Coturnix japonica: one gene and its partner. The protein of the gene in region 2 purifies or fractionates together with the protein of the main gene of each other region. This does not show direct contact. Links are inferred from orthologs where the notes say so. Each region holds a gene or a part of one and is shown on either strand. Other genes may lie near its edges. The genes, in order: LZTR1 and PTPN9.

Evidence for each region.
Region 1: the proteins of PTPN9 (region 2) and LZTR1 purify together in Homo sapiens (affinity purification with mass spectrometry; 3 studies listed by BioGRID and IntAct, with this or other methods). This does not show direct contact. The link is inferred for Coturnix japonica from reciprocal best matches to the Homo sapiens genes PTPN9 and LZTR1.

The regions. Positions count from the first base shown.
Region 1 is NC_029541.1:978,960-982,760, forward strand, and holds part of LZTR1 (leucine-zipper-like transcriptional regulator 1), read left to right. Parts: intron 1-87; coding exon 88-145; intron 146-259; coding exon 260-399; intron 400-579; coding exon 580-781; intron 782-3,801. UniProt on the Homo sapiens protein: Substrate-specific adapter of a BCR (BTB-CUL3-RBX1) E3 ubiquitin-protein ligase complex that mediates ubiquitination of Ras (K-Ras/KRAS, N-Ras/NRAS and H-Ras/HRAS).
Region 2 is NC_029525.1:1,988,031-1,992,412, forward strand, and holds the start of PTPN9 (tyrosine-protein phosphatase non-receptor type 9), read right to left. Parts: upstream 2,859-4,382; 5' UTR 2,844-2,858; coding exon 2,685-2,843; intron 2,526-2,684; coding exon 2,382-2,525; intron 2,308-2,381; coding exon 2,218-2,307; intron 2,144-2,217; coding exon 2,019-2,143; intron 1,562-2,018; coding exon 1,456-1,561; intron 993-1,455; coding exon 882-992; intron 701-881; coding exon 372-700; intron 239-371; coding exon 145-238; intron 4-144; coding exon 1-3. UniProt on the Homo sapiens protein: Protein-tyrosine phosphatase that could participate in the transfer of hydrophobic ligands or in functions of the Golgi apparatus.

The DNA of each region.
Region 1 (3,801 bases), on a different chromosome or scaffold from region 2:
GAACATACAGCCTCTGTTCATTAAACTCCATGATGTAACTCTGGCAAAAACCAGTTTCCAATTGGACTTTTGTGTCTCTTAACACAGGTTGAACGATATGTGGACAATCGGCCTCCAGGACAGAGAGCTGACATGCTGGGAAGAGGTAAGATCTCATTTGGAATGGACCAAATGCTGCTCATGTGCTCTGTCTGCAGATTGTCCTGCAGTGTGTGGCATCGTGCTGCCATGTTTCTGATTGAACATCCTTGTCTTTCAGATTGAACAGAGCGGTGAGATCCCCCCTTCGTGCTGCAATTTTCCTGTGGCTGTATGCAAAGACAAGATGTTTGTCTTCTCGGGGCAGAGCGGAGCGAAGATCACCAACAATCTCTTTCAGTTTGAATTCAAGGAAAAAATGTAAGTGCAGACAGTAACACAGTGCAAAAATCATTCTCCACTTCTTGAGTTGAAGTTGTTGAGAGCAGTGCTGCCTTTCGTGACCTGCATGGCTGGATTAAATAAGACATGGGCTGTGTGGGTGGGACTGTGTAGCTCACTTTGTAATGCTGTTCTCCCTCACCCTGTTTGGTGTCTCAGATGGACGCGGATTCCCACTGAGCACCTCCTGCGGGGCTCCCCCCCACCCCCCCAGCGCCGCTATGGTCACACCATGGTTGCATTTGACCGGCACCTCTACGTGTTTGGTGGTGCAGCGGACAACACGCTGCCCAACGAGCTGCACTGCTATGATGTGGACTCACAGACATGGGAGGTTATCCAGCCCAGCCCTGACAGTGAGGTAAAACATTCAGCTTTCCTTTCTGCCTTTTACTTTCCATCTTGTAATTCAAGTTTTGAGCCAATTGTTACCCAACAGAAATGAGAAACGAAGTCACCCTGTGACAACCATCACAGCTGTGTGATGGGGTGTCAGCGTTGTGCAGTGCTCTGCTCAGAGATGTGCTGGCATTGCAGTGCTGGGTTCGTGCTGCTGGCAGTGCAGTGCCCTCCCAGTGTGCAGAACACAGAAGGCTGTGTGCAGCCTGCACACATACACACACTGCCTGCCTTTGGAACAGCAGGGCTGACTGCATGGGCTCATTCTCATAGATCTCACTGTAAGCCATCTGCAGGTAGTTCAGCTGATGCAGCAGTGTGTTCTGAGTGTTTGTGTTGGCTGCTGTGTGGGGAAGCAGCACTTGGCTTTGTGGTGAGCTGCAGGGATGAAGGCTCTCCATTACACAGGTGATTATTGCATCAGTGAGGATCAAACACAGATCTGAAGATGATGGGAGCCTTCCTCCCACCTTGCTTCCTCGCAGTGCTCTGCGCCCCCCATGAGCTGCTTCCTGAGCCAGGCCCTCCCTGCAGCAGTGCTGCCCACCATTCCCCTGTTGGCATGTAGGGAAAGAATCCATGCAGCCTTTTGTTGAGTTAAAATGTGTTTTCAGCAGCTGGGTTGTGAGGACATGTTTTGTGTTCTGCAATGGGACTCCAGCAGCTCTGCATTATCACTCTGCTGAGCAGCACCACAGCTGGAGCAAACGTGCAAGCAGGTCAGCACCCATCTGACAGCTGGATGCCATTCAGGTTCCTGTGATGCATTTCCTTAATCCTTTCTTCTTTTGCACCGCTTCTGGTGTTAAGTGGGCAGAGTCTGCAGAACCTGAAGAGGGACTGGCACTGATCTCAGTGCCATCACTGGCCTTCTGAAGCCAGGAACAGCATGTGCTTCTGATACTCAGAGCTCTGAACTTTTTGCTTTTCTTCTCTGTTGTAAATCAGCAAGGAGAGAGCTCAGCATGTTGGTGAGCTCCCCTGGCTTTGCTTTGAGGCACAGTGCTGGGGGTGGATCGCTGTGCTGTGCTCTGTGGATGGATCAACTCATCACGTGTGGGTGAGTGCCACGGTCTCCCTGTGCAGAGCAGTTACAACCACTGAGGTATCTTCAGGCAGAAGAGATGTTCTTATGGAACAAAAGCCCAGATTCCATCACTGAATCCCTGACCAGAGCTCACAGCCTTCAGGTGTGGCCTCTGGAGCTGCCATGGTGTCCTATTCTGCTTGAGGAGATGAAATTCAGCACCTCACAGGTGGTTTTATGGTTGTATGTAAAGGAAGCGCAGCATTCAGAGTTGCATCCTCTTTAGAAAGTACCTTTTTAAATCCCGGATCATTGTAGCTGTGACCTTTCCAAGTTTGTGCTCAGCAAACCGGAGAGATGTCTTGAAGAACACGAGATTTATTAAAGAAAAAGGTTAAAGGAATTAAAATGACCGTAATTTGGGTTGTTCCACACCTCGGTTCCTTTCTGTTAAATGCATTCATTTCATTTCTCAGTGATGTTTATTATGGAATTCTCCCCCAAATAAGAGAAGTTTGGGCTTGTGTGGGTGATGGGCAGAGGGTGTTTTGTGTCTGAGGTGCTGCAGCAGAGCAGTGCTACCATGACTCACATTAAGCGGATATAAGGTTTGATATCTGAAAGATAGGAAATGGGATTTTGAATGAGGAGTGGTTGCTCTGCTTTGTCCTTTGGGGACCATTCATTTGTGTTGCATTGTTCAAAACTTTTGTCAATGGCCTTGAAAGAAAACAGGAAATCACAGCTTTCCCCTGATATCTCCTGATTGCCTGTGGTCTTAATGATGAAATCCTCAGTGCTTTGGATTCCTTGTTAAGGTGGGCCCAAGCAAACGGTCTGTTTCAGCAAAGTAACGCATCTAGGAACAGAGAATGTGGTTTTGCTGAATGGTTTCCCTTAAGAAAACCCTTGGAAACAGTGAGTTACAAGCTTTAGTCATTGTGGGTAGCTGAGAAAAGCTCCTTGTAATGGAAAGGGCCTGCAAGTGCTGATGGTATTTTTGGCTGTATGAGCTGACATAGCATAGCATCGTTTAGTAACAAAGATGCATCGCCCCTGTGTTCCTTAGTTTAGCTCCCAGTGTAGTGTGGACCATCTCCTGTGGCACTCTGTGATGTGACTGTGCATCTTGTGATATAACAAGATATATTGTGTTATATCACAGTGACTCCCTGCTGAGTCCTGTAGGAGCTTGTGGTGTTCTTCCTGTTTGAGAGCCTTCTCACTTAAACTGCAGCCCTGCTTAAGCTGTGGCTCTGCATGTGAGCTCTGAGGTGCATCAGAAGCTGCCCCCAACCTAACCCAGGGTTAGGGTTAGGGTAAGTAAGGGTAAGGGTTAGGGTAGGGTTGGGTTTAGGGTTAGGGTAGGGTTGGGTTTAGGGTTAGGGTAGGTTTGGGGTGGGAAATGTTCATTTGGCTTAATGCTGCTTTTGCAGCAATTCAGCTTCATTTGCTGAGGACTTTGAGTAAAGCTGAGTGTTCCTAGTGAGGTTAATACTGAAACCAATGAGTTTATGTGAGGGTTTGCACAGGTTTAATTAAATTAATTTTGATGTAGGTGGAAACAGCCCTAAGTTGGTGCTCAGGGCTCTGATGTCAACTATTTGAATGATTGCTGGCCTGCAGCACAGAGGAGCAGAACTAAGGCACAGCTTTGTGAGCCAAATCAGAGCCCCGAGGAGCACCACAGGATGAGATTTGAGTTTGTGCTGGCTTGAGTGAGTACTGAGATGGGTTCTGGGTGCAAGAAATGCCAAAGGAGTGAGTGCTGAAAGGTGATGTGAGCCATGGCAGCAGTGGTGAGGGGAGGAGGGGTGGCTGATGGGTTCTGCTGTGAAAGTGAAGATCCCATCTTGAGCTCGCAAATCTCGTTAACCTAAAATAGGGAAAGCACTTCAGCAGATGAAGCAGGTCGGTGTGCTGTGAGCACAGTGTGTAACCCAGGGCTGCAGAGA
Region 2 (4,382 bases):
CAGCTGCGGACAATGACACGGCATGAGTGTACCACAGGAATGGCTTCAGCATGACCCCTGGGCTCAGCTCCAAGCAAGCAAAGCGAGTGAGAACCCAGATACTGGGCGTCAGGGATGGGCTGGTGGAATGCAATGGGGGCTCACCTCAGGGCGGCTATAGGGCCTGGCCAGCTTCACGCGGGTCTGGTCCAAGCAGGGCACGTCCCCATAACGGTTCTTCTCCTGGTTGTAGGGCGCCCTGGGGCAGAGACAGGGCAGGGCAGCAGGGCATCCCAAGGCAATGCCCGGGGCTCTGCTGCCATCACCTGGCTGCAGTCCCGGGAGCAGCGTGCACCAGTTTCCCGCTGCCCCTCCCACCCCATTCAACTCACAAGGAGCAGACGAAGGTCCCGGCCGGGCTCCGGCGCCGGATGTCCTCATACTCCTCATAGATACCGCGCTTCTGCTTGCGGCTGACGTGCTCCAGCAGCTCCTGCGGGGTGAGAGCCTTGGGGCCGGGCACGTGGAGCGAGCCGTTGTCACGAGGGGTCACCAGTGGCACCAGGATAAGCTCATCCAAGGGGTCGGGGTGCCCGTTCTGCTGCGGTAGGAAGCGGCAGTTCCAGCTGAGCGGGTCCAGCTTGAGGCAGCCGCCGAGGGTCTCGGGAAGGCACTCGCGGGGCAAATGCTCCTTCAGCTCCGACATCTTCACCATCTGCACCTGCAGAGGACAGGCATGGGCACTCAGCTCAGCCGGCAGGAGGGCTCTCCTCAGCTCAAGCAGCAGAGATCTTCGGGCATATTGTTCCAAGCAGCAACCAAGTTTATCTTCTCCCACGTGGCTCGTTTTCTTTCCCTTTTAAAGCTGCCAGCCCCCAGGAGCCTGCAGCCCCCACACTCACCCTCTCACGCAGCTTCTCCTTCAGCAGCAGGCTGATGATGGAGTAGGGCACGCGGAACCACATGGGTGCTCCCACGATGAACACCTTCTTCAGCCTCGCTGGGAAAGCGCCCTGTGGACAGCGAGGGCTCAGGGACGGCTCGGCTCCACGCTGCAGGACTAACCCACACCCAGCGTGGCCCCACAGCAATGACAACCGCAGGGTCCTGGAGCAAAGCAGCTCCCAGCACAGTCCATGCTCCAGTCCACATCGATTTCCATGTGGCCAGCAGAGGGCTGGGCTTGATGAGGCAGCGGTGAGGGCGGGAGCAGGGCTTTGAGCCCCAGCTGCTATTTACTGGGAGCTATTTTTCCGGAGAAGGGAGGAGGCACGAAATGCCAGCACCATTAAAAAATAATTTGCATCTGTTTTCATGAAAGAGCTGCCAGCAGCTGTGTGAGGAATCCAGCGCGTGGGGACAGCTGATCCCCTCCCAGTGCCTGAGCCTCCCCCCGAGGGGCTGTGGATGGCACCCAACCTCCTGCATCCCCCCCCATCCCATCATCCTGCCCCATCCCATCCCTGCCGTCGTTACCTTCAGCAGGTTGAGGATCTTTTTGCTGAGGTCCAGCTCGAAGTTGGTGTATTGCGAGCCCGCCATGTCGTAGATGAACACCAGCCCATTCCTCTGTGTCTCGAAACTGGGCAGGGGGAAAAAGCAGCACCACTCCAAGATCATGGACGCACCCTCAGTGACCCCAGAAGAGTCTCCTCTGTGTTCCCAGTGAGATGAAGAGCCCGAAGCTGCCTCTCCCCCACCCTGAGCCCATCCCAGGTACATGGTGTCAGCCCACAGACAAAGCCCAGCCATAGGAACGGGGTGACTGGGCTCAGTGTTCCAGCAGGGCTCCCACGGCCGGGGCTTTCCAAGGGCCGGAGATCCCCGGCACAGTAACACGAGGCACATGCGGACGCCTTAAGGATGCCACTGATTTTTGCCATGCCTGGAAGGCTTCTAAACGGGCTGTCATCAATCCTTGGCATGCAAACATAGGGCGAGCTGCTGCTTATAGGCTACTTGAACTAACAGAGCTTGGGCTGCGAGCAACAACAAAGCAGCATCCAGAACACAAGGCAGTGGCAGAACACAGAGCTCACCTCTCCACGGCCCTGTCCAGCAGGTAGAAGAGCGCCTGGAGCACCACATGCTGCACACTGCGGCTGGGGTGGTGCAGCTTGGCCGTGAACAGGGCAATGGATGCCCCTGAAGGGTCCCGAACGCTCTGCAGGAGGAAAGCAAGGTCATGGCATGACTGTAGGCAGCACCACACTGTGCACTGCCACCCCATGCACCTACCAGGATGGTGAACTTCCCACTGAGCAGCTCTGAACGCAGCGGCTCTTCGTGAGGCTTCAGCTTCACGATGCCCTCCTTGAGCCGCGTCTCCTGCAGTGGGAACACAGTGTGACCCCCAGTATGACACACAGGGATGTGTGAGCCCACAAACCCCCTTGACATACGCGGTAGGAGTGGAAGAGCTCAATGGCCCGTAGGACGTCGAACTTGCGGGCCATGAGGAACTTGACGGCCACGTTCCAGGAGAGCGGGGACACATTGTACTGGCCCGTCCACTTGTTGATCTCTTCCAGGAACTGCTTGGTGGCCTGCAGGACACAAGGACATTCCTATTAGCATCCCCCGGACTCCCCAAAGGCAATTTAATGGGGGGGAAGAACTAGGTGGCAGAACAAGGCTGGCACTTGGCTCGACCCAAAGCGATGTCAGATGGGCCAGCACCAGATGCGCCCCGAAATGTGATGTACCTGCCCACCTTCTAGAGATAAAGCGGGCAGAGGAAAGGAAGCAAAGCCCTGCGTCACTGCTGCGTCCCAGATCCCCGAGCTGTGGGACAGCCCCCCTTCCCACCCGCACATCCCAGGGCGATGCTGGGCTGCCAGCCCCGCTCCCGAGCCCAGCAACATCCTCCCGCGGTGACGCACGGCCGGGGAGGAAGCCGGGACGTCACGGGAGGTGCGGGGCGTGGGAAGAGCGTGCACACAGCCCCGCACAGCCCCACGGGCACCAAGGGGGGCGGCGGCTCCGTTACGGCGGCGGGGTAGAGCCTGCGGGAGAGCCGGGGATGGAGATGATGAAGCAGAGGGGATGCGTAACGGAAAGGAACGGGGATGGGTGGGGGGGCGTGCGGATGGAGCGGATAAGGGGCAGACGGAGGCTGCGTGGATGCAGGGGGGAGCAAAGCCGTCCGCCGCCCGGTGCTCGCAGCTCGGCCGGCACGTACCTGCTCCTCCTCGGCGCTCAGCTCCGCGGCCATGCTGCGGCCGGGCCGTGCGGGCCGTGCTAAGCGGCGGAGCCCATCCCCGGAGCGGCGGCACTGCGGGCACCCGCCCCTCCCTGGCGGCCGCTCGGAGACGGCGGCGGCGGCTCCGCCCCGGGGTGTCCGCGACCGTGAGCGGGGAGGGAAGAGAGGATGGGAAGGGAATGGAGGAGATGGGATATAGATGGAGAGAGGAATGGAAACGGAATAAGAAAGGAAAGGAGAAAATGAGATTGAAAAAAGAGAAAGAAAGAAAGAAAACGAGAACGAAACGCAAATGAAAATATTCAAATGAAAACAAAAAAATAGGAAGAAAAGGGAAAAAAAAAAAAACCAACAAAACGCCGTAAGGATCGCAAAGCGCCGGGAAGTTCCGCTCGCCCCGGGAAGCGCCGCTCGGCTGGGGGTTGGGCCGCCGCCGCTCCCCGCCCCGCTCCGCTCCGCCCGGCGCTGCCCCGCGGGGGCGGTGGCAGGAAGCGCCCGCAGCCCCCTCCCCTGCGCCCGGCCCGACGGCGGAGGGAGGGGCGGGCAGGAAGCGCGGCGGGGCGGGGGCTGCCGGTCCCGGGCTCTGCCACCCGGGTAGCGACCAGCCGGACCCGCTCGGGATGGGTGGCACCGCCCCGGTTGGGGGGAGGGTTGGGCCGTCCCAGGGCCGGGGGTCCGCGCTCCGCAGCCGGGGACATTTTGTTCGGCCGAGGAGCAGCGCGTTGGCAGCTCGCCCGCAGCCGGAGGGTTTGCACCTAACTCGCAGAAAATGGAAGAAAGGGCAGAGAGAAGCGGCTCGGCCCCTGCCCCGAGCGCGGTGGCAGCGTTGTGGGGCTGACCTCCACCCCACAGCCCCGCTCCTAACGCACGCTTCCTCTTCGCCCTTCTTTCTCTCCGGCCCGGGGGCTGCTTTAGGAACGGGAACCATCAGCGTGCTGTCGGCCATCGAGCGGAGCCCGCAGCCCGTCACGTCGGCAGATGGCCGAACGGGGCTGCAACCCGAGCTGCGGTTCATCCCGAGGGATGCCCGGCAGCAGAACCAGCCCCGGGGCCGGGGTGCCGCCTCCTCCTCCATACGGAGCACAGCGGGGTGGGCCGGCTCCCATTGAGCGCCCACCGCAGCGCTGACGGCTCCCGCTGCCCGCAGGTACAACACCGGGGTCAGGCGGTGGAAGCAGTCCCTGTACGTGGTATTAAACGG